7 linked regions of the Cricetulus griseus genome follow. The protein of the gene in region 1 purifies or fractionates together with the protein of each later gene. This does not show direct contact. Links are inferred from orthologs where the notes say so. Each region holds a gene or a part of one and is shown on either strand. Other genes may lie near its edges. The genes, in order: Plk1, Wdcp, Prrc1, Satb2, Ccdc6, Mtmr4 and Spag9.

Evidence for each region.
Region 2: the proteins of Plk1 (region 1) and Wdcp purify together in Homo sapiens (affinity purification with mass spectrometry; 4 studies listed by BioGRID and IntAct, with this or other methods). This does not show direct contact. The link is inferred for Cricetulus griseus from reciprocal best matches to the Homo sapiens genes PLK1 and WDCP.
Region 3: the proteins of Plk1 (region 1) and Prrc1 purify together in Homo sapiens (affinity purification with mass spectrometry; 3 studies listed by BioGRID and IntAct, counting the BioPlex papers as one, with this or other methods). This does not show direct contact. The link is inferred for Cricetulus griseus from reciprocal best matches to the Homo sapiens genes PLK1 and PRRC1.
Region 4: the proteins of Plk1 (region 1) and Satb2 purify together in Homo sapiens (affinity purification with mass spectrometry; 3 studies listed by BioGRID and IntAct, counting the BioPlex papers as one, with this or other methods). This does not show direct contact. The link is inferred for Cricetulus griseus from reciprocal best matches to the Homo sapiens genes PLK1 and SATB2.
Region 5: the proteins of Plk1 (region 1) and Ccdc6 purify together in Homo sapiens (affinity purification with mass spectrometry; 3 studies listed by BioGRID and IntAct, with this or other methods). This does not show direct contact. The link is inferred for Cricetulus griseus from reciprocal best matches to the Homo sapiens genes PLK1 and CCDC6.
Region 6: the proteins of Plk1 (region 1) and Mtmr4 purify together in Homo sapiens (affinity purification with mass spectrometry; 3 studies listed by BioGRID, with this or other methods). This does not show direct contact. The link is inferred for Cricetulus griseus from reciprocal best matches to the Homo sapiens genes PLK1 and MTMR4.
Region 7: the proteins of Plk1 (region 1) and Spag9 purify together in Homo sapiens (affinity purification with mass spectrometry; 7 studies listed by BioGRID and IntAct, counting the BioPlex papers as one, with this or other methods). This does not show direct contact. The link is inferred for Cricetulus griseus from reciprocal best matches to the Homo sapiens genes PLK1 and SPAG9.

The regions. Positions count from the first base shown.
Region 1 is NC_048596.1:78,505,948-78,509,957, reverse strand, and holds the start of Plk1 (serine/threonine-protein kinase PLK1), read left to right. Parts: upstream 1-1,210; 5' UTR 1,211-1,300; coding exon 1,301-1,702; intron 1,703-2,447; coding exon 2,448-2,616; intron 2,617-3,245; coding exon 3,246-3,390; intron 3,391-4,010. UniProt on the Homo sapiens protein: Serine/threonine-protein kinase that performs several important functions throughout M phase of the cell cycle, including the regulation of centrosome maturation and spindle assembly, the removal of cohesins from chromosome arms, the inactivation of anaphase-promoting complex/cyclosome (APC/C) inhibitors, and the regulation of mitotic exit and cytokinesis.
Region 2 is NC_048600.1:15,619,144-15,623,225, reverse strand, and holds the start of Wdcp (WD repeat and coiled-coil-containing protein), read right to left. Parts: upstream 2,801-4,082; 5' UTR 2,679-2,800; intron 2,608-2,678; exon of another isoform or gene 2,008-2,607; intron 1-2,007.
Region 3 is NC_048595.1:181,592,320-181,595,819, forward strand, and holds part of Prrc1 (protein PRRC1), read right to left. Parts: intron 2,796-3,500; 5' UTR 2,776-2,795; coding exon 2,673-2,775; intron 2,091-2,672; coding exon 1,695-2,090; intron 1,128-1,694; coding exon 967-1,127; intron 1-966. UniProt on the Homo sapiens protein: May act as a regulator of the protein kinase A (PKA) activity during embryonic development.
Region 4 is NC_048595.1:411,291,761-411,295,790, forward strand, and holds the start of Satb2 (DNA-binding protein SATB2), read right to left. Parts: upstream 2,801-4,030; 5' UTR 2,664-2,800; intron 1,401-2,663; 5' UTR 1,342-1,400; coding exon 1,152-1,341; intron 1-1,151. UniProt on the Homo sapiens protein: Binds to DNA, at nuclear matrix- or scaffold-associated regions. Thought to recognize the sugar-phosphate structure of double-stranded DNA.
Region 5 is NW_023276806.1:267,514,379-267,517,878, forward strand, and holds part of Ccdc6 (coiled-coil domain-containing protein 6), read right to left. Parts: intron 1,989-3,500; coding exon 1,828-1,988; intron 1-1,827.
Region 6 is NC_048600.1:100,763,700-100,767,641, reverse strand, and holds the start of Mtmr4 (myotubularin-related protein 4), read right to left. Parts: upstream 2,801-3,942; coding exon 2,756-2,800; intron 1,358-2,755; coding exon 1,268-1,357; intron 952-1,267; coding exon 835-951; intron 98-834; coding exon 15-97; intron 1-14. UniProt on the Homo sapiens protein: Lipid phosphatase that specifically dephosphorylates the D-3 position of phosphatidylinositol 3-phosphate and phosphatidylinositol 3,5-bisphosphate, generating phosphatidylinositol and phosphatidylinositol 5-phosphate.
Region 7 is NC_048600.1:107,006,896-107,010,395, reverse strand, and holds part of Spag9 (C-Jun-amino-terminal kinase-interacting protein 4), read right to left. Parts: intron 3,323-3,500; coding exon 3,266-3,322; intron 2,364-3,265; coding exon 2,190-2,363; intron 459-2,189; coding exon 329-458; intron 1-328. UniProt on the Homo sapiens protein: The JNK-interacting protein (JIP) group of scaffold proteins selectively mediates JNK signaling by aggregating specific components of the MAPK cascade to form a functional JNK signaling module.

The sequences.
Region 1 (4,010 bases):
GCGGCCAGAGTTGACTTTTTTAGGAAAGTCACTCACCTGCACTGTGTGGCCATTCCTTTTAAGTGTTGTAAATTTTTTTTTTTTTTTTTTTAAATGAAGGCCAACAAACACCCCTGCTGGGCAGATTTGGCCCTGCTACTTTGCTAGCACTCTCCAACCAGCCATCCCTCCCTCTGACTAAAAAAACTAGTTTTCTCTATTTGGAGCAACTTAGGACAAGCCAGGTAACCTTGCATTCATGCTCCTAAATTTGCTCCGCGAACCTGGCCGGGCCGGTGCAGAGATCTTGCTCTGCTCCTCTCCTCCCCGAATTCAAACGCAGCGAGAGGGGGGAGAGAGCTGATGCTTTTCTTTTTTTCTTTTCTTTTTTGGGTTTTTCGAGACAGGGTTTCTCTGTGGCTTTGGAGACTGTCCTGGAACTATCTCTTGTAGACTAGGCTGATCTCAAACTCACAGAGATCTGCCTGCCTCTGCCTCCCGAGTTCTAGGATCACCTTGTGTAGGAATCACCTGACAGTCTTGTTTGACCTGCAGGTCAGACCTGGGCGGTTTCTTTCCTTCGAGGGTAGGGGGGAAGGAATGTTGCCTGGTAGCTGAGGCTGGCCTTAGGCTAACTTGCAATCTTGAACCCACGCTCCTTCTTAAGGAGTTCCTGGGTGTTGCAGATACTGCTGACCCCTGGGTTTTACTGGAGAAGTCTAGAGCTCCTTTCAATTCGGGCTCCGGGAGTGGTTGCCACAGAGCTTCCTTTTGCCTGCCAGACATGCTGGGTTTGTTCAGGTTTGGGTTTATATAGACTAGCCAGGGAGACGGCAGTCGAGGGCGAAGGCGGTGCACTGCCAAGCTACCTCTAGGCCTGGAGTTTCAGATCTAGAAGGCCAGGAGGAGTGGAGGAAGGTGTTAGTTAGGTCCTAACTGGAGAAGCCTCTGGAGGAGGGGCATGAACCACAGGAGCATTCTCTGGCCGAGGAGCAGAAAGCCGGACCGAATTCTGTCCCCTGGGTATTTCCGCGTATTCCATCCGCTCCTAGTTTCCCAGGGTATCCCACGTGCATTTAATCCTTAAGTCCCAGCCCATCAAGTTTCTCCTCACAAGATCGGGGGTTTAAAAGCGGCTGCGCCGTAGAGCACTCCCATGGTGCCGCGCGCTGGGCGGGTTTGTATTTTAAATCCCCGCGGCCAATCAACAACGCGCAGGTCCTTGTAACGTTCCCAGCGCTGCGTTTGAATTCGGGGAGGAGCGGAGCAGGGCAAGATCTCTGCACCGGCCCGGCCAGGTTCGCGTAGCAAATTTAGGAGCATGAATGCAGCGGCCAAAAAGCTGGCTCGAGCACCAGCCGATCTCGGGAAAGCTGGGGTTCCTGGAGATGCAGCTACCGGTGCCCCAGTGACCGCCCCGCTGTCGAAAGAGATTCCTGAGGTCTTAGTGGACCCACGCAGCCGGCGCCAGTATGTGCGGGGCCGCTTTCTGGGTAAAGGAGGATTTGCCAAATGCTTCGAGATCTCGGATGCAGACACAAAGGAGGTGTTCGCAGGCAAGATCGTGCCGAAGTCTTTACTTCTCAAGCCCCACCAAAAGGAAAAGATGTCTATGGAGATTTCTATCCACCGCAGCCTCGCACACCAACACGTCGTAGGCTTCCACGGCTTTTTTGAGGACAGCGACTTTGTGTTTGTGGTTTTGGAGCTCTGTCGCAGGAGGGTGAGTGTTTCTGCTGTGGTGTTGGGGCGACCACACCGGGAACTTGCTGGCAAAGAGGCATCGACGCCTTGGAGTGGCCTAGAGGAGTGCTTGGGTTTCAAGCAATTATGAAGGGGCTCCTGGTGAGGGTGTTTGGCATTCCGAGCTGCTGAGGCCGGGGGTTGAGGGCAAGCGGAACCCGGGACCTGTTGCTATTATTAGGGAAGGTGGCTCCTGCACGCAAGACTGCCAGTAGGTGCAGGAAATGGGTGTTTAAAGTGATTAACAAGGGTCCCAAGCTACGGCTGCCGCGGACCTAGAACTTCCGGAGTGGAGTGGGGCAGGGTCTGGAGTGGGGGAGGGAGGAGAGGCTGTCTGGAGTCAGACCTCAGCTTTCAGGAAAAGGAGAGGGTCTCCTGCTGGGAGGAAGCCCCTAAATAAGGGGTTGAGAGAAGACGCTGGGTAAGGGTACTCGTTAACAGGAGAGGGGTCCTGTGAATGATAATGGCCTGACCAGTGTATGGACAGAACCATTAGGAGCCTGCCAAGACATAAGAATTATGGGTTAATAAGTGGAAGAGTTAGCTAAGCCTGTACTATAGGCCGAGCATTTATAATTAATATAAGCCTCAGAGTAGTTATTTGGAATCGGCTGGTCGGGATAGGAAACTTCCGTCTATACTTTACTCCCGAGGGTTTAATCTTGGCCACATCCAGCTGGCCACCCTTTTCCTTGGGCTTAACTACCTTCTTCCCTCTTCCTCAGTCTCTCCTGGAACTGCACAAGAGGAGGAAAGCGCTGACCGAGCCCGAGGCACGCTACTATCTACGTCAGATAGTCCTGGGCTGCCAGTATCTGCACCGAAATCAGGTCATTCACAGGGACCTCAAGCTAGGCAACCTCTTCCTGAACGAGGATCTGGAGGTGAAAATAGGTGAGGTGCTGGGCCTGCGGGTGTCTGGTGCCAGTACAAGAGGTGGCAAGGAGGGGAACTCTGGGAGAATGGGAGCCAGAGAAGTGGAAGGTGGGTGGGAAATGGAGGTGCTGCCCTCCAGAAAGCCTTCTTGTCCAGAAATGGAAAGTAAGTGTCCCACAGGCCAGTGTTTTGCTGTCCCTTTACTGAGCTGAAAAGCACCTTTTCCCTTGAGACTCTGATTTGCCTCAGTCCCTATACTCCTGTCACTTTTCTTAAACTTGTCACAGTCACAAAGAATATTTACTTGATTCCCTAGTGCATCCAATTCTGCTATCCTATGTATTTTAAATTTCATATATGTGGGGTTCGAGATAGAAGGTAACTTTCTGGAGTCAGTTCTGTTCTTCCATTGTGGGTTCCAGGGTCAACTCAAGTTGTTAGTCTTAGCGGCAAGCACCTGTACCTACTGAGCCATCTTACTTCCCTAGCCCTGCTATCTAAAGAGGAGTGTAAAGGGCAGTGGGAAGGTTCGGGAACAGAGACTGGAGTCTTGAGGCACTGGCTCTCTATGGTCAGTCCTGAGGCAGTTGTCTGCAGCCACAAGATGGCCTAGCAGCTAATCACCTCTCTTCTTCCCTCTGTCCCAGGGGACTTTGGGCTGGCAACCAAAGTGGAATATGAAGGTGAACGAAAGAAGACCTTATGTGGCACTCCTAACTACATAGCTCCCGAGGTGCTGAGCAAGAAGGGACACAGTTTTGAGGTGGATGTGTGGTCCATTGGGTGTATCATGTAAGTTGGGAATGGACTCAGGAGCTATTGGGTCTCAACAGGATTTTCTGAGGCATTTCATCCAGTTGACCTTTCCCTCTGGATCCCACATGAAGCCCCTTTTCCTTATTTATCAATCTATAGCATTCCTGTAGCTTGGACTTATGGTCCAGGGAAGGGACCAAATGTGTCTACACTTCTTCCTCCAGCTCCTTGCTGCTTACTAAAAGCATGCACTAACCCAAACCATCAATACCTCTGAGGGTTTGTTAGGATGTGGAAATCTCAGTTCTGGACCTGGGTCTAATAAAATCCCTGGCTGACTTTCAGTAAAGCTTTGGAAACACTGATGAGTGCTGATGGGAGAATCAGATCAGCAGAAAGGTTCATGGTAGGCAGAAGCTCCATCATGGTGCTTGTGCCTGTGGCAGATAGCAGTGGCCTCTGCGGTTCTTGAGGAGTCCTCTATTACTGCAGGCCAGAGCTGGGGAATCTCTAGCGCTTGGTATTCAGTGTTGTCACCTGCATTCTTCTGAGGGCTTATCCCAGCCATTGGCTTCTATGAGACTGAGCAGACTTGGAGATCAGCCTCATCCGTTCTGAGTCAGTGAATCCAGCCCAGCTCCCTTCCTCTAGACAAT
Region 2 (4,082 bases), on another chromosome or scaffold:
ACCTCGGAACTGGAGCTACAGATGGTTGCAAACATCACATGGATACTGGAACCAAACCCAGGTCCTCTGTAAGAGCAACAAGTGCTGTAAACCACTGAACATTCTCTTCAGGATCCCTTTTCAGTTCTCTTTTGGGGGTGGATGGCATTAAGACAGGCCTCTGCACAGCCTTGGCTGTCCTGGAACTTGCTCTGTAGATCAGGCTGGCCTCAGACTAACAGAGAGCTGCCTGCCTCTGCATGCCCAGTGCTTGGGATTAAAAGTGTGCACAACCATGGCCCGTCTTTTAATTTTTTAAAAAACTCCTTTTATTGATCTCAGTTTACGTATGTGTGCACATGCTCAAGTGTACAGAGGTCACTGGACAACTTGGCGAGTCCATTTTTTTCACCTCTACTATATGGGCTCTGGGGATCAAACTCAGATCTTCAGGCTTGGTAGCACCTTTACCCACCAAGTCACTTTGCCAGTCACTATCTTTTACTTGACTACTTTTTTGTTTTGTTTTTGTTTCTTGACACAGGGTTTCTCTGTGTAGCTTTGTAGTTCAGGCTGGCCTTGAACTCACAAAGATCCACCTGTCTCTGCCTCCTGAGTGCTGGGATTAAAGGTGTGCTCCACCACTGCCCAGCATTACTTGACTTCTTTTCAGAGTCTCACTCTGAAGCCCACGCTCACCTGGAACTCACTATGTAGTCCAGGCTGGCCCCAAACTCTTGGTGATCCTCCTACCTCAACCTTCTAAGTGCTGGGATTAAAGGTGTGAGTACCATATCCAGCTATTTGTGGTACTTTCAAGTTAGAATATGTGTAATTAAAAACTAAAAGTTACTTTTATTATCTAAGCCAGGTGGTGGAGGTGCATGCCTTTGGTCCCAGCACTCTATAGGCAGAGGCAGGCGGATCTCTGTGAGTTCGAGGCCAGCCTGTTTTACAGAGCCAGTTCTAGGACAGCCTCCAAAACAACAGAGAAACCCTGTCTCGAGAAAAACAAAACAAACAAACAAAAAGTCTATTATCTAATTTCCATTTTCTCTTCTATTCAGCAACTTGATGATTTGACACACATCTTCAGCATATAAAAACATACTCTGGACCTGAGTATGTGAGTCATTGGTAGAGTTTCAACCTTGAATGCTCAACCCTCAGTTCAATCCCTAACACCCTCCCCCAAAATTAAGAATAATGAAGTTCTTTGAAAGGGTATTAACAATACATTAAGGGCTTGTATTATTTGCTACATATATATATTTAACTTGGTCTCTTTGTCTAAAGGAGGGAAAGGCAGTCAGATCTCTGGGAGTTTGAGGCTAGCTTGGTTTACATGGTGATTTCCAGGCCAGCTAGAGTTACATAGTGAGGTTTTTTTTTTTTTTAATTTTTTTTTGTTTGTTTTTTGTTTTTCGACACAGGGTTTCTCTGTTGCTTTGGAGGCTGTCTGGAACTAGCTCTTGTAGACCAGGATGGTCTCCAACGCACAGAGATCCTCCTGCCTCCGCCTCCCGAGTGCTGAGATTAAAGGTGTGAGCCTCCTTTAGTGAGGCACATAGTGAGATCTTGTCCCCCAAAGGGAGCCGGGCATGAAAGAGTCTGAATGCCAGAATAATGGAGTGAACAAACAGTCAGCAAGATGGCTTAGTAGGTAAAAGTGTTTGCCTCAAAAGCCTGATGACCTGAGTCCAATCCCGGCCTTCCACAAAGTGCCAGGATAAACCAACACATAAAAGCTGTCCCATCCCCAGGCGGTGGTGGCCCACGCCTTTAATCCCAGGACTCAGGAGGCAGAGGCAGGTGGATCTCTGTGAGTTCCAGGCCAGCCGGGTCTACAAAATGAGTTCCAGGACAGCCAGAGCTGTTAGAGAAACCCTGTCTCGAAAAACAAAACAAAACAAAACAAAACAAAAAAATTCTCGTTATTGAAAAAAAAAAAAAAAAACAAAAAACTCAGAAAGCTAGCAAGACGGCTTAGCAGATAAATAAGGGTTTGTGCACAAGCCTGATAGATACCTGAGTTCAATCCCTGGATCCCACAGAGCGGCAGGAGAGAACCAATTCACAGAAGTTATCCTATGACTTTCAACCATGTCCCAAAGCAAGTGCACAAACGCTGGGGCAACACACACTGCCTCGAGTCCAAGGTCAGTCTGGACAGTGAGTTTCAGGCTAGCACAGGCAAGCAAAACGATACCCAATCTCAACAAGACCAAACTAGACCAAAACAAAACAGTAACAGCAACAACAAGAAACCCTCTGCCTCCCCAAAAGGATGTAAGACAGAGAAGTAAGACAGAGACAACGTTTTGGCTACAGCTTATCTGACTAACCGGTTACAGAGCCTTCTGCAATTAACCAAAAAAACTCAGCTACTGTGATTTGTGACAGAACTTCTCAGTTCGAGTTGCTGAGGCACCTCAAAGTTCGTAGACGACTTTACCCTATTACAAATTAGGCTAAATTACCAGAAGTACCATTCATGAGTCCCAAGGGATACATTCACTTGTTAAAAACCCATAACAGCCTGGTCCTCAACCTACTGTCCCTCACACACCATCCGCCACGTACTCCTCAACTCATTCATCCCCACGCCTGCATCCCTGGGCCTTACGTGCCCCCCATCTCCTCGCCCAGCCCCAGCCTCCCTACAACCACCAGGCGTGGCCGCAAAAGACACGAAATACCTTGGTCTCTCTGCCTCCCCGCCCCACACATAAAAATCGCGAGGTCGGTTCACATCACAGCACGGGGGATCAGAAGTCCCGGGCAACTAACGGAAGCCACGGCCCTCGGGCCTCGGCAATGCCTCTAGTCTATTGGCTATTGGGTGCGTCACGTTAGCAGCGGGTCCTTCCGCTAGCCAGTAAGCGAGAGTTTTGCCGCAAGGGTTTCTGGGAGTTGTAGTTCCCGAGAAAACCACCGCCCGTAAATCTTCGCACTCAGTCTTAAGCGCTTCAACCCCTTCTCCCTCGCACGTCTCATCCATTCTGTTAGAAGAGGTTGTTAAGAAGAAATTGAAGTCCTAGGGTCAACATGGGTCAATTGGTCTTAGTTTGGGAGCGGGGAGTCAGAGACTTCCCTTTTAAAATCGCGTAAAATATCGCTCCCAAAATGTAAATAGCACCCATTCACCCGAAGCCGCTTCCTAGGCCTGCCCAAGTCGCAGATCTGTTGTACCCCTAATCAGAAAGTACCTGCTCGAGGCCATAGCCAATAGGGTTGGAGGTCTCAAGCTTCTGCAGCCCTTAAGACTCTAAGCCACGCCCGCGGGGTTTTTCAAGTCCTGATCTGCACTGTAAGGTAAACCATCTTTCCTGAGCGTCAACTTCAGTCCTCTTTCTGCGACCTAGCCACGTGGAAGAGTGGAGTAGGGAAACGCCTCAGGTTCTAATTCTGGGCCTTTGGATAGGTCTTTTTCCCATATTCACTTCCCAGTCGTCTCTTGTCAGAAGCAACAGGCCGATTTTTGCAGAAAGGGTGAGGGGACGTTCTGAAAGTGTCCTCCAGCCTTCAAGAAAACGCTACCTCCTAGGAACTGTGGATGTAGCCTCTTTTTGTTTAGCGTGTGTGAAGAGGCCCTGACTTCCCTGAGTTCAATTTCCAGCACCACCGAGGTAGAGGAACCAGAAAGGACAAAAGTATCTTTCTAGATTCCTGTCAGTTTTGGATAGAGGTAAAGGAATTCATTCATTCCTGCTCCAAGCTGTAGCTATATCCTCAGCTAGGACCCGCAGCACAGCGATTCTGCTTTAATTCAATTTGGAATCCCCAGGGAGCAATCCTTTGCCTTGAAAAGTGAGACCCCAATAATACCTGACTCAGAACTTTGAGGTATATTGAATATGGGTGTAAGGTGTTTGGGGTAAAATCATCAATTATTGGTTTCTGTCCCTCCCTCTGTTCTACTCCTGTAGACTCGGGAAGCCTAGCCAGGGTTAGTTATCAGTCTCGGATGCTTCCGTTGTACTCTAAACCCCATGGCACTGAGCACATGTATTTAAAGTGTTAATTACTGGTTTTCCCTCCTAGTCTGTAGGACTGAGTGGACTCCCTGGAGCTTTGCACCGAGTGGGTGCTAAATAAATATG
Region 3 (3,500 bases), on another chromosome or scaffold:
CAGGAGGACTGCAAACTTCAGGTCAGCCCAGGATACCGAGTGAGCTCCAAGGCATATTGATGAGACTCTTCCTAAGAGTGAAAAGAGAGCTGGGATCAGGCTAGCAATGAAGTACTTACCAGTATACGTAAGGCCGCAGGTTCAGTCCTCAATACTACCCAAACAACAAGAACAAAAGTGTATATGTTTACACATTTTTCTCAATTAGAGAAAAATGATTTAAAAACTTACAAGTAGATAATACTGATAACGGATTTGTAAAATAAAACATGATAAATGCAACAGCATCGATGACAAAGTAGTTATTAAGAAATACATTCTAAAGGAAGAAGGTTTAGAGCTGAGAGATGCATAAGGACCTGAGTTCGGGTCCCAGCACCCATTTAGAAAGCACAGCACTCCAGCACATGTCTTAATGCCCTACCAGTGGGCTGGAGCACAGGTGAGAGGATCCTTGGAGCTCACTGGCAAGCCATCCCAGCTGAATGGATGGATTCCAAATTCAGTGACAGATCCTGTCCCCAAAAAGTAATGTGGTAAACAGAAGAAGACCCCTTATGGTGGCCTCCACATTCACAACACACGCGCACACACACACACACACACACACACACACACACACACACCCTTGAACACATTAATCCATATAGACATACACAGACCCCAAATACACAAGAAACTAAGACAGACAGACAATTTTACAGCTGGAAGGACATTAATGAAGTCTTCTAGAAAAGACAAAGAACACAATACCCATGTCACTAATCCAACTGGATTCTAATTAAGAGAACAAGTACATGTGTATAGAGATGCACAATGAGCAAGCACCAACTACAGAAATCTGTCCATAAAGGGCTTGCTTTCCCTTACTCTATACATTGTGTTCCCTCCCTATGCTGTGTTTCTCTAATTGATCCCTGTCAGTTTTACAATTAGAATAGTAACTTGAAAGGCAAACACCCTTACCTTGATAAAACCCCAGATCCCACCAGTAGGTGCATCATCCTGGCTTCTAGTAATTCTAGGATCTTCCTGTTCCTCTGGGAAAGTAATGGCTGACGTGGTTCCAGGTCCCTGTGCCAGCGAAGTCATACTGGCTTGTTGAGTGATGGGGGCTGGCAAAATACCTAGTCAAGAGCACAAATTTGATTGGGTAACTTATTCCACAAATGTTTTCCTATAAAAAGATGTATCATATGAGACGCTCAAAACAAATTCAATCACAGAACTACTTAAGCATCTAAAGATAAAATTATCAACTCAAACCTTTATAAACACAAATGTAAAAATCACTCAAAAGGTATTTCCCCCCTTACATAGGTTTACACAGATAAACACATGATAGGGGATATGGGAATTCTTTCTCATACCTCAAATGTCAATCATGCATCAATTTTTATACCGCCCAAAAACTATACAATAAGTTACATTAGCTTTATTGTTAATAACTTAAATGGCAAAGAGATGAGCATGGGAAACACTGGAATTCAGAGTAAGACTAGAAAATTAATGTGGAGAAATCGAAGCCCTAGGAGCAGCAGATGGTCAAAGTCTATACAGAAACTAAAGTAAGTACGACACTGTCCACCTCAAATCACTGTCTAATATACAAACCACAGTGCAACATAATTCAGGCACACAGTAATAAAATGTCAAATACTGCCGAGTACTGCGGAACAGTAAGAGAAGATCACCTGTGACTGGAGGTGCAGAAAACGATGGCATCAAAGGTGTCTGGGGTGCTCTCCCAGCGTGGCCCCTCGTGATATCATAAGCTGTACCAACAGAAAACCCCGATATAGGAGGACCTGCAGGTGGTGCAGATAAAAAAGCACCGGAGGCGGAAGTTGCAGGTGGGAAGTGGGATAGAGGTGGGCTGCTGAAGGCAGTGCCAGGTGATGAAGACACAGAGGGGGGCATTGAAGTGCCACTCAGGGGAACCGAGGGAGCTGGAGACATCGACATTGGCACAAAAGGAGGCGGTGCTGACGGCTGCACAGGGGGCAGGGATGGCTGAGGTGTAGAATACGCATGTGGTGGCAAGGACTCCATCCTGGACACATTGGGAGATGAGAAGGAACTGGTTGCAGCTAGAAAAAAAAAAAAAAAAGTAAGGGGGATAAACACACAAAGTTGAAAAAGCTTTTTATCTCATTTTCAAACTTCCACTGCTTGGGAAATTCCTAATGTGGTAAGCCAAATCTTAGTAATTAATTTTAAAGGTGTAATTTCCAGCGCATAGCAATTGTACATGAGTACAGACCCTGTGATTCCACTGGAGAAATAGCACAACTCAAAGACAGCACTGCCCGAGAGCAAACCTCCCTTTCCATTTGTTCTTAGACAAGGTCATTTTTCATCCCTGATTTGAACATAAAAACCTAGACCACTAATACCTCAAAAAGATTAATCCCCACAGTCAAAAAACAACAGACAACAAATGCTTTGAAAGCTTGCCAGGAGGGTTTGTAGTGAATATGAACAGAGAGAGCAAACCTGCTAACAGCAAGACATTACACTTCCTTACTTGTAACAAGCAAGGTTATTTCTGTGTTGTTGTTTACATTTAAAAGGGCTATTTCTTTGCACCCTGACAAGATTAGAGAAGCATTAACGACATATTCTTCTAATTGATTCAGAGAGACCAGTGTCTTCCCCAACCTCCAACCCACCTAAGTGAACTTCCGTGGAGGGTATGGCAGCGGCAGCCAGGCCTGCAGGGTTCAGGGGAGGGGTTCCAGGTGGAGTTGTCTCTATTCCACTTTCTTCCATCATTTTTCCTCAATTATGATGCACTGCAAATATATAAAAAATGTGGTAAGCTTCACACAGGGGCAGCAGCTCACATAGTTAGAGAACAATTAAGAATGACCACAAAGAGGCAAGTCTCCCTTTAGTACTCATTAACACAACCATGTCTGGAGGAAGGACTACTGCAAGGCTGGAGAGATGACCCACCAGGTGACAGCACTTGTGTTCCTGCAGAGGACCTGAGTTCAGATCCCAGTGCCCAATCAGATGGCTCACAACTACCTGAACTTGTGCTTCAGGGTATCTAACACCCTCTTCTAGCCTCCAAAGGCAAAGGCACCCACATACCTGTCTTCTAGCCTCTAGCCTCCAAAGGCAAAGGCACCCACATACCTGTCTTTTTTTTTTTTTTTTTTTTTTTTTTTTGATTTTTGAGACAGGGTTTCTCTGTGTAGCTTTGGAGCCTATCCTGGCACTCGCTCTGGAGACCAGCCTGGCCTCAAAATCACAGAGATCCGCCTGCCTCTGCCTGCCGAGTGCTGGGATTAAAGGTGTGCGCCACCAACGCCTGGCTTGTTTTGTTTTGCTTTTTTGGTTTTCACCCACATACATGTCACACACACACAATATTTAAAATACTTTTTTTAGTCTGAAAAAAGTCTGCATAATCTTTGGGTCTGGTTCATTTCTGTGTATAATTTTTTTATTTGCAACAATTTTTATAACAGTTTAAATAAATTTAAAAAGTC
Region 4 (4,030 bases), on another chromosome or scaffold:
TTCAAAACTTTAAAAATTGAGAGGAGGCTCCTTCTCAAGAGAAATGGCCAATTTAAAGAATTGAGGCAAGTGACCCTTAATGTCTACCACAGAGAAAAATAATTAAAAACAGAGAAGTGTCATCTTATTAGGCACATAGAGATGGTGCAAATTAAATATTTACTCCAAAATTCAATGTACACCACTGACATGAGGGTGGGGCCTTACAACTAAGCTTTACCATGAATTTGTATCATTTTATGCTGGTCAATATGAAGAATTACATTAAACATAATTTGCTGCTGAAAACATCTGGGTTGAAGGGGAATCTCTGGCATAATAAAATTAAAGGCATGATTTATCCCAAACAAAAAAAGTCTGAATACTATGTAAATTTGTACATTTCATATTTAAGAGACAGCTAGTTGACTGGCCTGCAACCTAAAAATTATTTTAGTACTTAAATTTTTCTCTGGTCCTATTTTGTAAGGTTACTTTACTAACCACTTTAAAGAAAGTATTTGTAGAAGTAATGAAAACATCAAAAGGCTGTCTTTAAATAATATTTAAATTTTGGGTGGGGAAGCAGCAGGCAGCAAATAAAACTGCTCGCTATTTTTCACCCAATTCTCTAATTCCTAACAAAGTTACAAATGCCGACGTCTAGACTCTGCAGGCAACTTTCAGCATCAAATCCACTAAGAACATAATGGATTTACGGTACTTCTGTTTTTCCTAGAACTTGTCTCTCGGTACTGTCCCTGCTACCAAAAAACACCAAAACCATCTCTCCTGCTCTAGGCTGATTCTCCCTCTCTGTCCCACTAAAATCGAAGCATACAAGCTCCAGCCCTAGAACAGATCCGAGGCAAGGCAAAGGAGTTAAACACGAAAGAGCTCTCTAGGAAAATCTAGAAACAGTTAGCTGGCTGTGACACAGACCTGCCAACACCTCGGCACACGGTGGCAAAGTGCCCAAAAAATGCCACCCTCTGGGTAAACCACTTTCTTGTTTTAACTCGAGATGAAGCTACTACCAGTTGCGGAGAGGCGACAAGGGCATTATTTGGCAACCTGGATTTGACTTCCTGTAATCCTACACCGAAACAGCGCCTAATCAACCTGAACCCTGACACCCAGGCCATTATCACTGGGCCTCCGGCTGCGCGCACCTCCCAGCTCCGGGCTGTTACCTCCCACGGCCTTGGCCACGGCGCCGTTGGGCCTCCCGCGGGCTCCCATGGGGCTGCCGTTCTGCTCCAGCCGGGCCACCTTCACCGGGGGAGGCCCCTTGACGTCCGGGCTGCCGCTCCTTCGGTCGGGGCTGTCCCGCAGACACGGGCTCTCGCTCCGCCGCTCCATGCTGCTCCGATTTGGAGACAAAGTTCCCACCGGCAGGTCGCAATAAAACGCGCAGGGACCTAGGGAGGGGGCGGAGGGGAGGAAAGGGGGAGGGAAAAAAAAAGAGGGAAAACCGCTCACACACGTGATAGACGATCAGGCCAGTGCGCTGCACCGCAGCCACACAAACTTCCTCCCACGCTTCAGAAAGGTCCCAAAGGGGCCCCGGGTAGCGGATCCCAACCTTAAACTGGAGGCTCCAAAGCTGCCCAGAACTTGAGGTACTGAGACCTGCTCAGTTGCAGGTCCCAAGAGTTAGCCCTCAATGGCATGGACAGAGTCGCAGTTCATAGCACTTAGTGCTCCATTCATAGCGGGCAACGCTGGCATTAGCCCTTCTCCGATGGAGAGCCCCCAGCCCCCACTTGGGGGTGGTCAGGGTTTTGAAATGAGAGTACTTCAAAGCAAGAGGTCCCACCCGGCCTGGGAGGGAGCCAGGACATACACGGATCCTTAAGCAAATTAATTGCTTGATAAATGTGCTGTGAATGGCCAGGCAGGAGCCAAAGACTTGATCAATGGATCCATGGAATCCCCGCTTTTTACCTTTATGGATCAAGTACACGAGTACACTTGTGTACACACACACACACACACACACACACACACACACACACACACACACTTTTGCACAAAAAAGTAACTATAATTCCACAGGAATGAGCATCCCAAACACTTTGAGGTTTGTAGGCTATGCTCCATCACAAGATTACAATTATTTCGGAGCATTCTTATCTTTATCTGATCTTGAGTGCTTTTTAAAAAGCCAATAAGCATAAAACATACGCGAAAGAAATTTAGATTATCCGATGCGGGAGCAGACCTCATTAGTCCTAATTTCTAAATCTGGGAAGTTTTTCTCGGGGGTTCCTAGGTGGGCAGCGCTCCACGCAGTTCTCCGCAGTACTCTCAATTTTGGAGGAGTGACCCGGAAGAAGGGAAAACACCTGATGAAACGGCGCCCCAATTGTTACTGACACTCGGGAGAGGAACCCCGAATACACCTGGGGCTCTGAGAATCCTCCAGGGCGCTTTGGATGCGGGAGAAGCCTAGGCGCTGCGGGTGGAAGAGACAAGGTAGAGGTGACAGAGAGGGGAAGGCAGAATTCGAGAGATGTAGGGAGTGTGCGAAGGGTACCGGGAGAGGGTTCCACCGCACTTCCCGGCTTCGCCTAAGGCGCGGGAGAGCGGGAGCCGGAGCCGGGAACGACCGAGGAACTTAGCGCGCCCTGGGCTTCCCGAACTCCCGGCGCCGCGCGAGAGCCCTCGCCCAGCATACTTACTGCTCACGGTCTGTCTGAAACTTGGCTGGCTGGGGCTCTGTCCATGGAGCAAAAGTAGAGAATCCAGGGTGGAAAGTTTCTGGTGATTTGCAGTGTTGTCCTAGTCTTCCTTTCTCTTTCCTCTTTCCCCCTTCCTTTTCCTCTTCCCCGGGTCCTAGCGTTTAAGGTCCTGGGTCAGGGTGTCTTCTGTTCGGAGATGGTTGTTATGATGATGGGGGGGGGGGATGAGGGAGGAGGAGGAGAGGGAAAGGAGGACTCCTCCTAAGGGGCACCCGAGCGAGCGGGGGAGGGGACGGCGGAGGAGGGGGAGAGAGGGGGCTGAAAGAGCCTTTCACACCTTCGGGAAGGAGACCGGTTCTGGAGAGAAAGGGCTAAGGACTGGGAGGCTGCGGCGGCTGCCGGCTTGTACCGCCACTAGCTCGAGAGGAGGCGCGGCCGGAGCCGCGGGGACCGTGCCACCAAGAGCGGAGAAGGCGCGGAGACCCCGGACCGTGAGCAAGAGAAAACGCAGCGGCCGCCCAAGCTGTCACCTCCAACCTCTCCCCTCGCGGCCGCCTCTGCCAGAAGCCAGAGCCGGACTCACTGACAAGCCACAGAGAGAGACACACTGAGAGGGAGATGATTATTAGTTGCGTTGAGTCATCAGGCAAAGTGAGTCCTTTTGGGTTGTCCTCGGTTTCCGATTTCTCCCCCTCCCCCTTTCGGTCCCCAGATCTAGCGCCTTCAAAATAATAATTTGGGGTGGGGGTAGGGGAAGTCTCTGGGTTATTTCGGGATGGGAATGGGGGGGACGGATCTAAACCCAAGCCAGACTGGTCCACCGCAAGGAAGGAGGGGAGTGGGGGGCGGGGAGGAGGGCTGGGGAGGTTGCGGGGGGAGGGGGGCCCCGCCTGGCAGGAAATTAAACATCAATCAATCAATCGCTGTGAGCACGGCGATCCAACGAGCCGGGCTGCGGAGGAGGCATAGGGATAGGCGAGGGGGTGGGAGGCAGGGAGAAAGGAGGAGGAAGGGGAGAGTTGGCGGTGGGAGCGGGGTGGCAAGGACCTCATGCACCGGGCGACGAAGGACGGATGGCTGAGGACTGAGTGCGGCGCGAGGCGGTGGCCACGGCCGGCGGATGGGTGCGTCTGGGCGCTGACGAACGCCAGGGCCCAGGGTCTGGTCCTCCTCCTTGTGGCAAGTCCAGGGAGCAGCCGCCTCGCCCAGCCCCTAGGCGCACTCGTCCCGGCGCGCAGGCTGCGGCTACTAGGCGGGCGCTCGGTGTCGCGGCTCGCCGCAGAGGCGCAGACTGGCGCGCGGGAGGCGGCAGGCGCTGCCTGGTCTCCAGGCTCTGCTAACTGCGCCGAGTACTTTCGACTTTGGAG
Region 5 (3,500 bases), on another chromosome or scaffold:
AAAAAACAGAAGTGTTTTCAAAGAGAAAGATGCAGAGTGTCCTGATTACTGTCTAATTCTTGGTATGAAGCAATTTTGTATGCGCGCACACATCTGGGAGAACACTAGTTATGGGCCTGTGCAGACTGCTCACCTGGCAGTAACAGGGAAAGGGAAGCCCTTCTCCCACTATTTTACCTCATGGAAGAGATGTCTGCAACCAAACATTTGCAGGAGGAGGGCAGAGCCCTAAAAATGCAGAGAGACCCAGACAAGTTCAGAAACCCAGGACCCTGACTTCCAACTCCACAACTTGGCCTTTTTCAAAATATTAAGCCTAAATTTCAAAAGCATTTATTCTGCAAATACCATGCGCAAATGTCAGCTGAGGTTAGATTCAGCAGTAAGGAAGGCAAACACCCTCCACAGTCCTCCCTTCACAGAGCAGAAGTGCAGAGAGCCCCTGTGCAGATTCATTAGCACATCAAACAGACTACAAAGGTCACCTGGCCTGGTAGTTTTAATTGTCAATTTGATACCGTCTAGAACTTTAACAGGCAGAAATGCAAACACTCTAAAACACTTTTGTCTTTTACTCTATCAGACTACTGAAACAGTGGGCACCAAAGACATTGAAATTTCCCCCAGGAATCTCACACTGGGAGAAGGAGAGGGAGACAGCCAGAGGGGAACCTATCTCCTTGGAAGAGATTTGGTACAGTACAAGATGAGACTCAAACCCAAAGGTACATCCACCAGGGGTGGGACCATGCTTTGACCAGAGCTGCTTACATGTGCAAATCCTTGGTCCCTTATGTAAACTTCTATCTCACCGTAGGACCTGGAAAACAGACTTGAGGGGTCTAGCTGGCTCTTTGTCCCCTTCCCCAATGTGGCCAGTGACTAAATCTTCCTTTTCTGCTTTCCACTATGAATTTGGCCTTTTTATCGCCTCACTGAGGACAAGTAGCCAGACCTGATTTGGGGTTACAGGTTGTGACCCGCTCCCCCAGCCAAGTTCAGTAACAGAACCACATGGAAAGGGGACTCAGAACATGGTACGGAGGGATTATTTTAATTATACCCATCGATGTGGGAGGCCATGCATAGTGAGTGACTCTGTTCCCAGGCAGTGTTCTTGAGGTCTAGGTCGGAGTCAGGACCCAGCAGGCTGACTCTGCTGCAATGGATGGCTCCCCACTTGGGTACCTAGACAGCATGAGTGGGTTCGGGGAGTTAAATAAAATGCAGACACAAAGCTGGGGGGCGAGGGAGGAGCTAGGGGGAGGAGCAAATGGTGACTATAATCAAAACACTTGACACGGAATTCCCAAAGAAGTCATAATATATATACATATGTATATATACATATTTAAATAGGAAGGTAGCCAAGCACGTGTATGCATTTATCAACCGTTCTCCATTTCCAACCATGGGTATGATGTGACCGGTTCCTCTGTGACTTCCCATGTCACCGTGAGCTGTAACCCACATGCCAAATGAGCACATTCTCCCTTAAGTCAGAGAATTTTATCTCGGCAAGGAAGGAAGGAAGATATCCGGGATCCTGCTACCTCAGTGACCCCCCTCTTGAGATTATCAGAATTTATCTTCTGAAAGTATTCTAAATTATTGCCGCCAACCCCCCCCCCCCCGTGATCGCTTTCTTTTTAAAACTATATCCCAGAAAGACAGCTAACACGTGTACAAATGTCTGCGCACTGCTAATAAAGTACACCATGGATACGGCTGCCGCCACGAGTTCACTAGTAAGCACAGGGACGGCTGTGGGCTTGGTACCCGCACTGATTCAGCAGACAGGAACTCGGGGGGTTGGGAGCCACGTACGCTGTAACTGGGCAGCCCGCAGCTGCTTCTTCAGCCGCTCCACTTCGTTCTTTAAAAACCTGATATGCCTCATCATGTTCTCAGGAGAGTCGATCTCCATGGAGATGTCTCTAGGTGATGGTGGGGCAGACACGGGCTGATCTAGTTTCTCCTGTAGGATTCTTCACGGAAAAGAAAAAGGAAAAAAAAAAAAAAAAAGAAACAATGAATAACAGTTTGCGGTAGAACACTATTCAGCATTTGAGCCGAGAGCCGGCCTGAAAATCGCCCATTGGACAGACTGACACCTCTCTGTCCATCCTGACCAATTATCACTGGTCAAACAGGAAGACTGGCAAGATCTCATTTCTGTTGTGTTTATTGTGTGTTCAGGTGTTAGCACAGGTGTACCTGGGGTACCCGCACATGGAAGTGAGAGGACATTCTTAGGTATGGGTCCTCGCCTCTCCCCTCTGCAACGAGGTCTCTTCTTCTCTGCTGCTAAGCAAGGTAAACTGGCCCCAGGCTTCTGGGAATTCTCCTGTCTCCACCTCCCATCTCACTTTAGGAGCACACTGGGATTACACGCATGGGCTAGTGTATCCAGCTTTATGTGGGTACTGGGAATCTCAACTCAGGCCGGTCCTCAGGCTTTGTGCAGCAAATACGACACCACGGAGCCATCATCCCTGTTCCTTCTGCTCTTTGAGTGACCCTGGCAGTCAATCATAACTGTGAAGTCTGTTGAACACGTTTCTGGTTACTATGCCCAGAGTCCAGCAAACCTAGCTGACTGTATGGTTAGCAAGCTGGCTGCGGAGGATGGAGGGAATAAAGAAATTCTCCCCTCTTGATGCTCTGGGTGAAATTTAGGAACTGCTATGAATTGCCCCGGAGGATGAAGTTACTTAATAGCCACTAGAGCTCCTCCCAAGTAAAACTTGGGTGGAAGGTTTGGAAAACTGGGGCCAACAATAAAATGTTAAAAAAAAACACCCAAACCAAGTCAGAATTATTTGGTTAATGGCTGGTGTGCCCACTTCCCTACCAATTATCATTATCAGATAAAACTCAGAAAAGGCTCAACAGCATTTTACCTACAAAATGACCACTTCCTACAGCTAAGTTCAATAACAATACAATTATATGTACATAAAGCCTCTAACTGCATTCCAAAAAGGCAGGCTAACTGCAACCCTCTTTAACCACCTTTTATAAGCTGCTGGGGGCTCCTGGGGTTTGCTTTATATTGAATTGTTTACCTCTCAATTTGACACAACTGTAAACGGACTTACCTGCAGTTCTACCCTAGTTGAGAAAATTAATAGGTAAATGTGGTCGCAATCACAAAATAACTTCAAGATTCAATGTATTAGAACTGCTACCATAGTGCTGAGTGGTTATGGCTGGAGGATTTTTCCTAACATATATTTCAAATCTTCACTTTTCTTAAGCTCTGTGGTTGGCTGTTTGTAATTCTACATATGAACTCAGAACAGTGTGGAACAGAATGGCACAGGCTTCTCAGAGACAAACACAGGATTCTGGGGCAGGGAACTAATAATCAACTTAAAAGGAAACTCGCCTTTATCCCATACAAAGCTCCGAGACAGGATCTTCCTGCCATTCCCAGAAGCCTTGTCCCTTCCAACCCCCAAGTACAGAGTGACCAAAAACGAGGACGAAGGCAATCT
Region 6 (3,942 bases), on another chromosome or scaffold:
CCCATTGTGCTCACCTCACCACTTTGGAGTCCTTGCAGGCAATGTGCAACTGAAACATATCACGACTTTCCACACTGTCAATCATCCGGAGGGGCACCTGCAGTGGAACAGCAAAGTGAGGTTCAAATACACCCTAGCCTGGAAGGTGACACACCAATGGAAAGAAGGAAGCCAGAATCTGCGGAGGGTCTGTTTAAGGCCTGGTAACTATGCCAAGTACTTCACACATGTAACCAGTTAATACCATAATAATCCTAAAGGCAGGTGATTTTATTCGGTAAGGAGGACATCATCCCTTGTCCAAGGTGACACAGAAGTGGCCGTGCAAGATAAAAGGCCAAATTTGCCTGGTTCCAAAGTCTATGTTCTTCTGATAATGCCACTGTTACCATACTCTTCTAAAAGCCTACACAGGGAGCTGGAGAGGTAGCTCAGTGGTTAGCACTTGCTGCTCTTACAGAGGACCAACCTGGGTTTACTTCCCAGCACTGACACAATTGCTCACAACCTCCTGTAACTCCAGTTTGATACCCTCATCTGGTCTCCTCGGGCACAAGGCACACACAGGGAACGCATACATACAGGCATGCAGGTAATCACAAATAAACATAAAATAAAAAATAAATCTTTAAAGGAGGTAGGGCCCAAACAGGATAAAAGAAAGAGGGGAAGAGAGACACACAAACCTGTACACAGAGGAATGAAGCATGAAATACAAAAGGCAGAGAGAAGGGAGTACTAACTGTTTTTAGAGACGTAATCAGGTAGAGAACTGGAACAATGCCACTTTGAAGCACACCACTTTAGTGTAAGGGAAGCAAGATGAGAACTTACGTTGATGACAGAGTCTTTGAACTTGATATGCAGCCGGTAGTTGGAGATGGCAATGAGGGCATCAGCTGCCCGGCCCAGGAATTCCACTCCCTCACCCTGTAGCACTGTGAAGGGTACCTGTCAAAGGTCAGAGAAACTCTTAGCCCAGAATCAAGCCTCTCCCTTGTTTTTCTCTGCAGCCCCTGTTCTCTAGGAACCGATCAGAAAAGTGTGGATAATGAAGAAGAGTCGAAAGTCAGAACATTAGTCATCAGCTGTCCAGGAAAACTGCCTCTCCTCTGAGGGTAAAGGCTCCAACAATGCACACACCCTCTCCCTTCAGAGGCCTAGAAGGAGGAAGCCAGAGTTCTGGTAGGTCCTCTGAAGATTTGGGAGTCTAGAGCACTAACTGGGCAGGAAGCCCATCTGCCCTGAGCCTCCTGTTCTTCCTTACCTGAAGATTCTCTTCCTCCTTCACAAGTTCCTTGGGGGGGAACAGATCCTTGGCTTGGATGTACTCCAGGCTGGGAGGCCCCTCTTCACCCTGCAGGGAGGCCAGAACCTTGGAGTTGCCAGACCCCACCTGGCTCCTGAGGCTCATTCACTTTCCTCCTCTACCAACAAACCTAGAGACACCCTCCTCATCATAGATCTAAAGGCTCTGGTTCCTAGAGGAGGGAAAGGAGGCCGGGCTTGGCTGGAGGCAGGGTGACATAGAGGTGTACTCAGGGAAACATGAGGTTAGCCAAGGAGGAGCTGGGGATCTACACAATTTAAAGAGGCTTCGCCTTAGAACCAACATTGCAAAAACTGTGGGGGGGGGGGATGAGGGTTGGAACAAGTCAGACTCATGTCAAAATAAGACAAGGACTGAGAGAGAGACACCTGAGGAACAGGAGCCAGGTGTGGTAGCTAGTTGGAGAGAGAAGGGAAACCAGGCCACTCTGGCCACTCAGGCATCAACCTGGTGGGTGGAGACAAAGGAGGAGGTTGTGGGGGATTCAGTCCCATGCCTCTAGAGGGCCTTTGTGAATGCCTTCAAAAAGGAAGATGTGTTTTGGAGCTGAGCTTATCTTCACACTGGGCTCTGTGCTGCTGAAAAGCCCCCACTACCTGCCAAGTGCCAAGCAACCCGCCCCGCCTGCTGATCTGAGGGGAACTCCTAAGGAATACCCATAGCAAGCAGAAGTCACTCTGCTCCCAATTACCAAGGGAGAGGAAAAGAGGGAATCCACGCTCAGGGAGGAAGCAGGAGACCCAAGGACAGCCAGGGGAGAGGAGGCCTGGCAGACACCTACGGGGGGGGGGGGGGGAGCTGGGGGGTACACGACATCTGAGAGGACAGATGGGGGAAGCTGGGAAGGAGCATTAGCCAGAGGGGAGGAGGGGAAGACTGGGGATGATTCAGAGATACAGAACCCTGCAGAGGCAGGAAAGATGGAGAAGAGAGGCTGTCTGGGGCACAGTCAAGGAGAAAAGGCTGGTATGTCAGGTGAACGATGGAGTGAGTGAGGGGGAGGGGACTGGAGACCTAGAGACAGCTCACAAACATCCAAGCTCCTCGTTCAGCCCCCTAACATCCCACACAGCCTACTAGGCACATCCTACATCCCCCAAGCAAGGATGTAGCGGGTGGGACCAAGATGGAGAGGAGGAGGTAATGGGATGTACCCCTGCAGGGCGGGGCCTGAAAATCTGCAGTCAAGGGCAGTGGCTGCAGAGCCAGAAAGAATCACAGAATTTTTATCCCTGGCCTTCTACAATCCCCAGTACCCGCTTTCTTGAAGCAAGTCTGAGAGAGAAAGGAGCTAACCTGTCTCCCCTGCCCCTAAGGGTTGGTTGGGGTCGTGCGGGGGTCCTTGGGCATAGCTGTGGGTACAGCATGCTTTGAGCGTCCCTCAACCCTCACCCCAGGCCTTGGCAGGACAGGCCTGACACTTACGAAGCAGCTAAGCATGGAGCAGGAGACGCGGGCGGTCAGGCTCATGGTCGCGGGCTGTCTGGGCCAGGGCACATGTCCCCGGAGCCGCTGCGCTGCCCGCCAGCCCCGGGCGTCCGCTGCATCCCGGCTGCAGGGCCCGCCTGATGCAGCCGCGGCCAGAAGCAAGCGCCCTGGCGCCAGGACCCAGCCTCTGCTCCCGCGCGCCTCTCCCCTCCTCTCCACAATGGAGCGGGCCCGGCTCCGCCCTCCGACAAGAACGCAGAAGGGAGGGGAGTCCAGGGACAGGAGCGACCAGGACGTCGCCGGGGAGGCGGAGGCGGAGCGGCTCTCAGGGCCCTGCCCGCCGCCCTGGCTCCTCCCTTGTAGCCCCCCAGTCCGCGTCCGCCCCCCCCCACCCGCCCCGGACCTCTAGGGACATTCTAGGGTGGGTCAAGGAACCGCCCTGGGATGGCTCAGAAAGGGGAAGCGAGTCCTCCCACACCTTTTCATTTCCCATTTTTCCAGGTGTGCTACCCTACACCCTTGTCACACAATATTTCCCACCTTCTTCCCTCCTCTCAGAGCTCCCTCTATGATTGCTGCGGATCCCAAGATGGAGCCCATCCATGTTCTTTGCAGCCCCAAGCCTTCCTTCTTTCCCTCTGAACCTATGCTCGGTTCATTGGCCTCTTCCACTATCCTGCTTTCACTAAACTCCTCTGTCCTCTAAAAAGAATATTGGTCTGGTGTTATCTTAGTGGCTATTTCCCATCTCTGTAAGGGAAACCGTTTTTTTGTTTTTTGTTTTTTGTTTTTTAATTTTTTTATTTCATGGTCCTCACATGCCCTGGACAATGGAAAAGAAAATCCTCCTGGAAGAACTTCTTCGTCTGAGAGAAGAACTGGGATTATGAGCCACTGTTGCTATAGAAAAACAAAACTCAAAAGCCAGGAGTAGAAAGAATGAATGGAGTTGGGCAGTAGTGAGCCAAGGAAGAAGGAGTAGTCAGTGATAAGGGCTTAGTGTTTCCAAAAGTAACAGAAGGAGCTTGCTAGAACTCTGCAACTTCCTGTACCTGGTAACTTTCAGAAACGAGGGCTTTCTTTGGGGGGTTGGGGGGGTTGGCGACCGGGATGAACAGAAAAATCTGGTGGCACTTTTTTAAAGTACAATAATGCTGAGCAGTGTCAAACATTACCCTACACGA
Region 7 (3,500 bases), on another chromosome or scaffold:
TGTTCAGCTTGATTCTGTCATTCTTACTTGAAAAATAAGCAAAACCTCAAGTAGCAATTACAGACAAGTTCAACAGGAAGTAGAAGTTCACAATCACACATGTGCACATGAGTACATGTTTGTATAAAAAAAATGCTTGGTCTTTTAGGAGTGTAGGCCTAAAATGTTTTGTTTACATGATAGGGCTCTAAAAATTGCCTGAAAACACCTAGTCTCTAAATTTCTCTAAATGTGCCAAGTCCAAGAAGGCTGAAATGAGAAAATCATGATATTATTTTCAGTTCACCTGCATTTCCTGCTAGACACTTGCATCACATTCCCAAGTCACCTGTTTGTACTTTTGGGGCAGACTCCAGCCGAAAGCTTGTACTCGGCCGTCTTCCTTCTGAACATGCGCCTTCACCTGCCGGTACTGCTCTCTCTTCTGCTCTCTTCGGGAAGCTAAACTAGCCTCAGTTCTAAAAAACAAAAAGAAAAAAAAAGACATTTGCAATTTTAATTAAGTGAATCCAATAAAACCTCTAATCCCAGCATTTGAGTCGACCTTAACTTCACAGAGAATTCAAGACCACCCTGGGGTATATGACGCCCACACACATACACACTGGAACACAAGGATTATACCAAAGCTGATCTTTCCACGTTTGTAAAAACAGCCTTCTGCTGGTGGGAGCAGCACGTTGTATGAAACTGAGTTAGTTATTAGTCATCAAACTATGGGGTTTCAGATGCTATATATGAAAGGAAAAAGTTCTGAAGTAATTTAGGATCTTCCTTTTCTTTTTTAACAAATACCGAGAATTTTCTAATGCCCGATATTGTGCCATAGTATTCTTAGGAGGGTGATATAAATTAAACTTTTAGATTCTACTCACTATTTCACTCTTTTTTAAAAAAATATTTAATTATTTTATGTGTTTTGCCTACATGGATGCCTATGCACCATTTGAATGCCTGGTGTCCTCAGAAGCCAGAAGACAGCATTGGATTCCCTGGGACTGAAGTTTCAGATCATTGCGAGCCACCATGTGGGTGCTGGGAACCAAACACAGGTCCTTTGGAAGAACAGCAGTGTTTTTAACCTCTGAGCCATCTCTTTAGCTCCTATTCATTCATTTTAGAAGACAAAAAGGCAAACTGACTTAGTAAGCGTGAGTAAAATACAAAAATGATTCTAAAAATAATTTCTCTTTCTTTTGGTCATTTAAATTTTTGTGAGGTGACTTTCTGTATAAATCATAGTTTACAAAATCTACTGGTATGTCAGTACTACACATAATGTACAATATTAACCTAACACCTTTGAAATAATTTTTCAGAGAGGAAAAAAAGATGGGCTCTGAGAGATGAATCTGTCCACATGTAGAGTCAGAAGGGAAAACCAAGTCCTTTTGACAACCAAAGCAAATGTTAAAACACTAAGGATTAAATTAAGTATCCAGTATTTCTATTGATATTTATCAATACTGTTGTGTCAACAAAAATTCATTTTCCTTATGAAAACTATGAAGTGCAATTTTCTTTGTTCAAAAATGTGTATTACATTTTATTTATCCAGTGTGTGTGCATGTTTGAATGTGTGCCATGGTGTGCCTGAGGTGCTCAGGGAACAACTTGTAGAATTCTCTCCTTCCAAACATGGGACCCAGGAACCAATCTTAGTTTACCAAGCTTGGTGCAAGCCCCCTTACCTGCTAAGCCTGCACTAGTCCTGAAGTGCAACTTTCGTAAGTACTGGCTACAAGTCATTCATGCATTTTGGGTGTAAAGTCTTACCCTGTGGCCCAGGATGTCCTCAAAATTGCAATCTGCCTGACTCAGTTTCCACAGATTTAGGATTACATTACTTAGTCCTACAGGTAATTTACTTAAAGGCATCCATCCATGATACAAAAACCCATGTTCTTTTTTCTTCTTCTCTCCACAACCCCACCCCCACAAAATAATTTCCTTTGTTCTTTAAGATGAGGCTAAGTGTATAGCTAATGCTAGCCTGAATTGTCTATACAGATTGGGCTGGACATGAACTAGTGATGATCCTTCTGCATCAGCACCCTGGGATTAACAGGCTAAGCTATTACGTCTGGCTAGAAATAGTTCTTTAGTGTTATATGAACTCCTGTGTTGTAAGGGGGAGAGATTCTAACTATGAACTTACTCTTGGCATGACCATTTCTGGCAATACTTACTCCTCACTAAGGAAATCAAATGCCTTGGACTTATCACCAGGGAGCTGAGATAAGGTGCTGCTCCTTTTCTTTACGGAGGGAGTCACGTGAGAAGTGGGTGCATTGTACTTCAGATTCACGGGGGGTTCAGGCTTCTTTGTTGTATTACTTGAAGAGCTAAAAAGTCGGCTGAAACTAATAAAATAAAACAAGCAAACAAACAAAATCCACAAGTATATTTATTACATGCACTGTGAAAACCAATCCCCGATTTTCCATAATTTTTTATGCTCCAGGCAGTGAGTTAGACATTAGCAAAACCAGTTTTTATAGTTATACCACAGCCTGAGCAGTCAGTCACAGCCAAACTTGGACATTCAGGGTAAAGAAACCATTGCTTAGAATGCCAGATGCCTGTTCTTTAATACACAAGTTCCATAATGAAAGTGATGCGCCTGCATATAGAAAGCTTCTACGGAATTAACACAATACACAGGTTCCTTAGCTAGTTCCTATTGGGGATAATATCACAGTGGTTGTTAGGCAGCAAGGGAACAACTGTGTGATGACAGCAGAAGCTTAGTGTGCAGCACTTAGAACAGTCACATCACCAAGTTAACTCATATCATGAATTTTCCAAGCTAAATTTAAGCAACTATTTTCATGTCCACAGTTTAAAAATATTTATGCTTCCAGTAAACAGACTAATCCTAAAAGGGTAAGTTTTAACTTCGGTAAACACACAATACTTCTGGTATAAAAATAATAAAAGTTTAACACACAGAGACAAAGCAAGCAGTACAAATACTAAATTTATCGTCTTTTCTTTGATGGGGATTCATGTAATTGTCAATTTTACAAATAATTCCCCACTGTTTTATGTAAACTGGCAGAAGATTCCACCAAATGCATAACCAACACAATGCAGCTTACGATAGCCCACTTTGGGTCCTCAAGCATAGCTTACCGAGTTGGCATGCTGTATATTAAAGAGAAGAATTTCAGTTTAGCTGTTTCCTCTTAACTAGGAAAAGTCAGTATAATGTTCTCATCTTGACACATCTCCTATGCTTATGGTCCTCAGTATGTATACTCACAACTGCCAGATGCTTGACCTTTTTTTTTCTTGCATGGCTGGATTTTCTCGTGATGCCCTGTGTTAACAAAAAACGTATTATTAGATAGGTGTTGTACTCTTTTCTCCAAAGAGCCAGAGACCCAGGAAGTTCATGGGATACACAGAGTCAACAATTAAATTTAGCAAACAGTTGCTCTGGTGTTTCATGAAACAGCCTGCTAAACCTAACACTGCTTAGATAAGATTCCTAGACC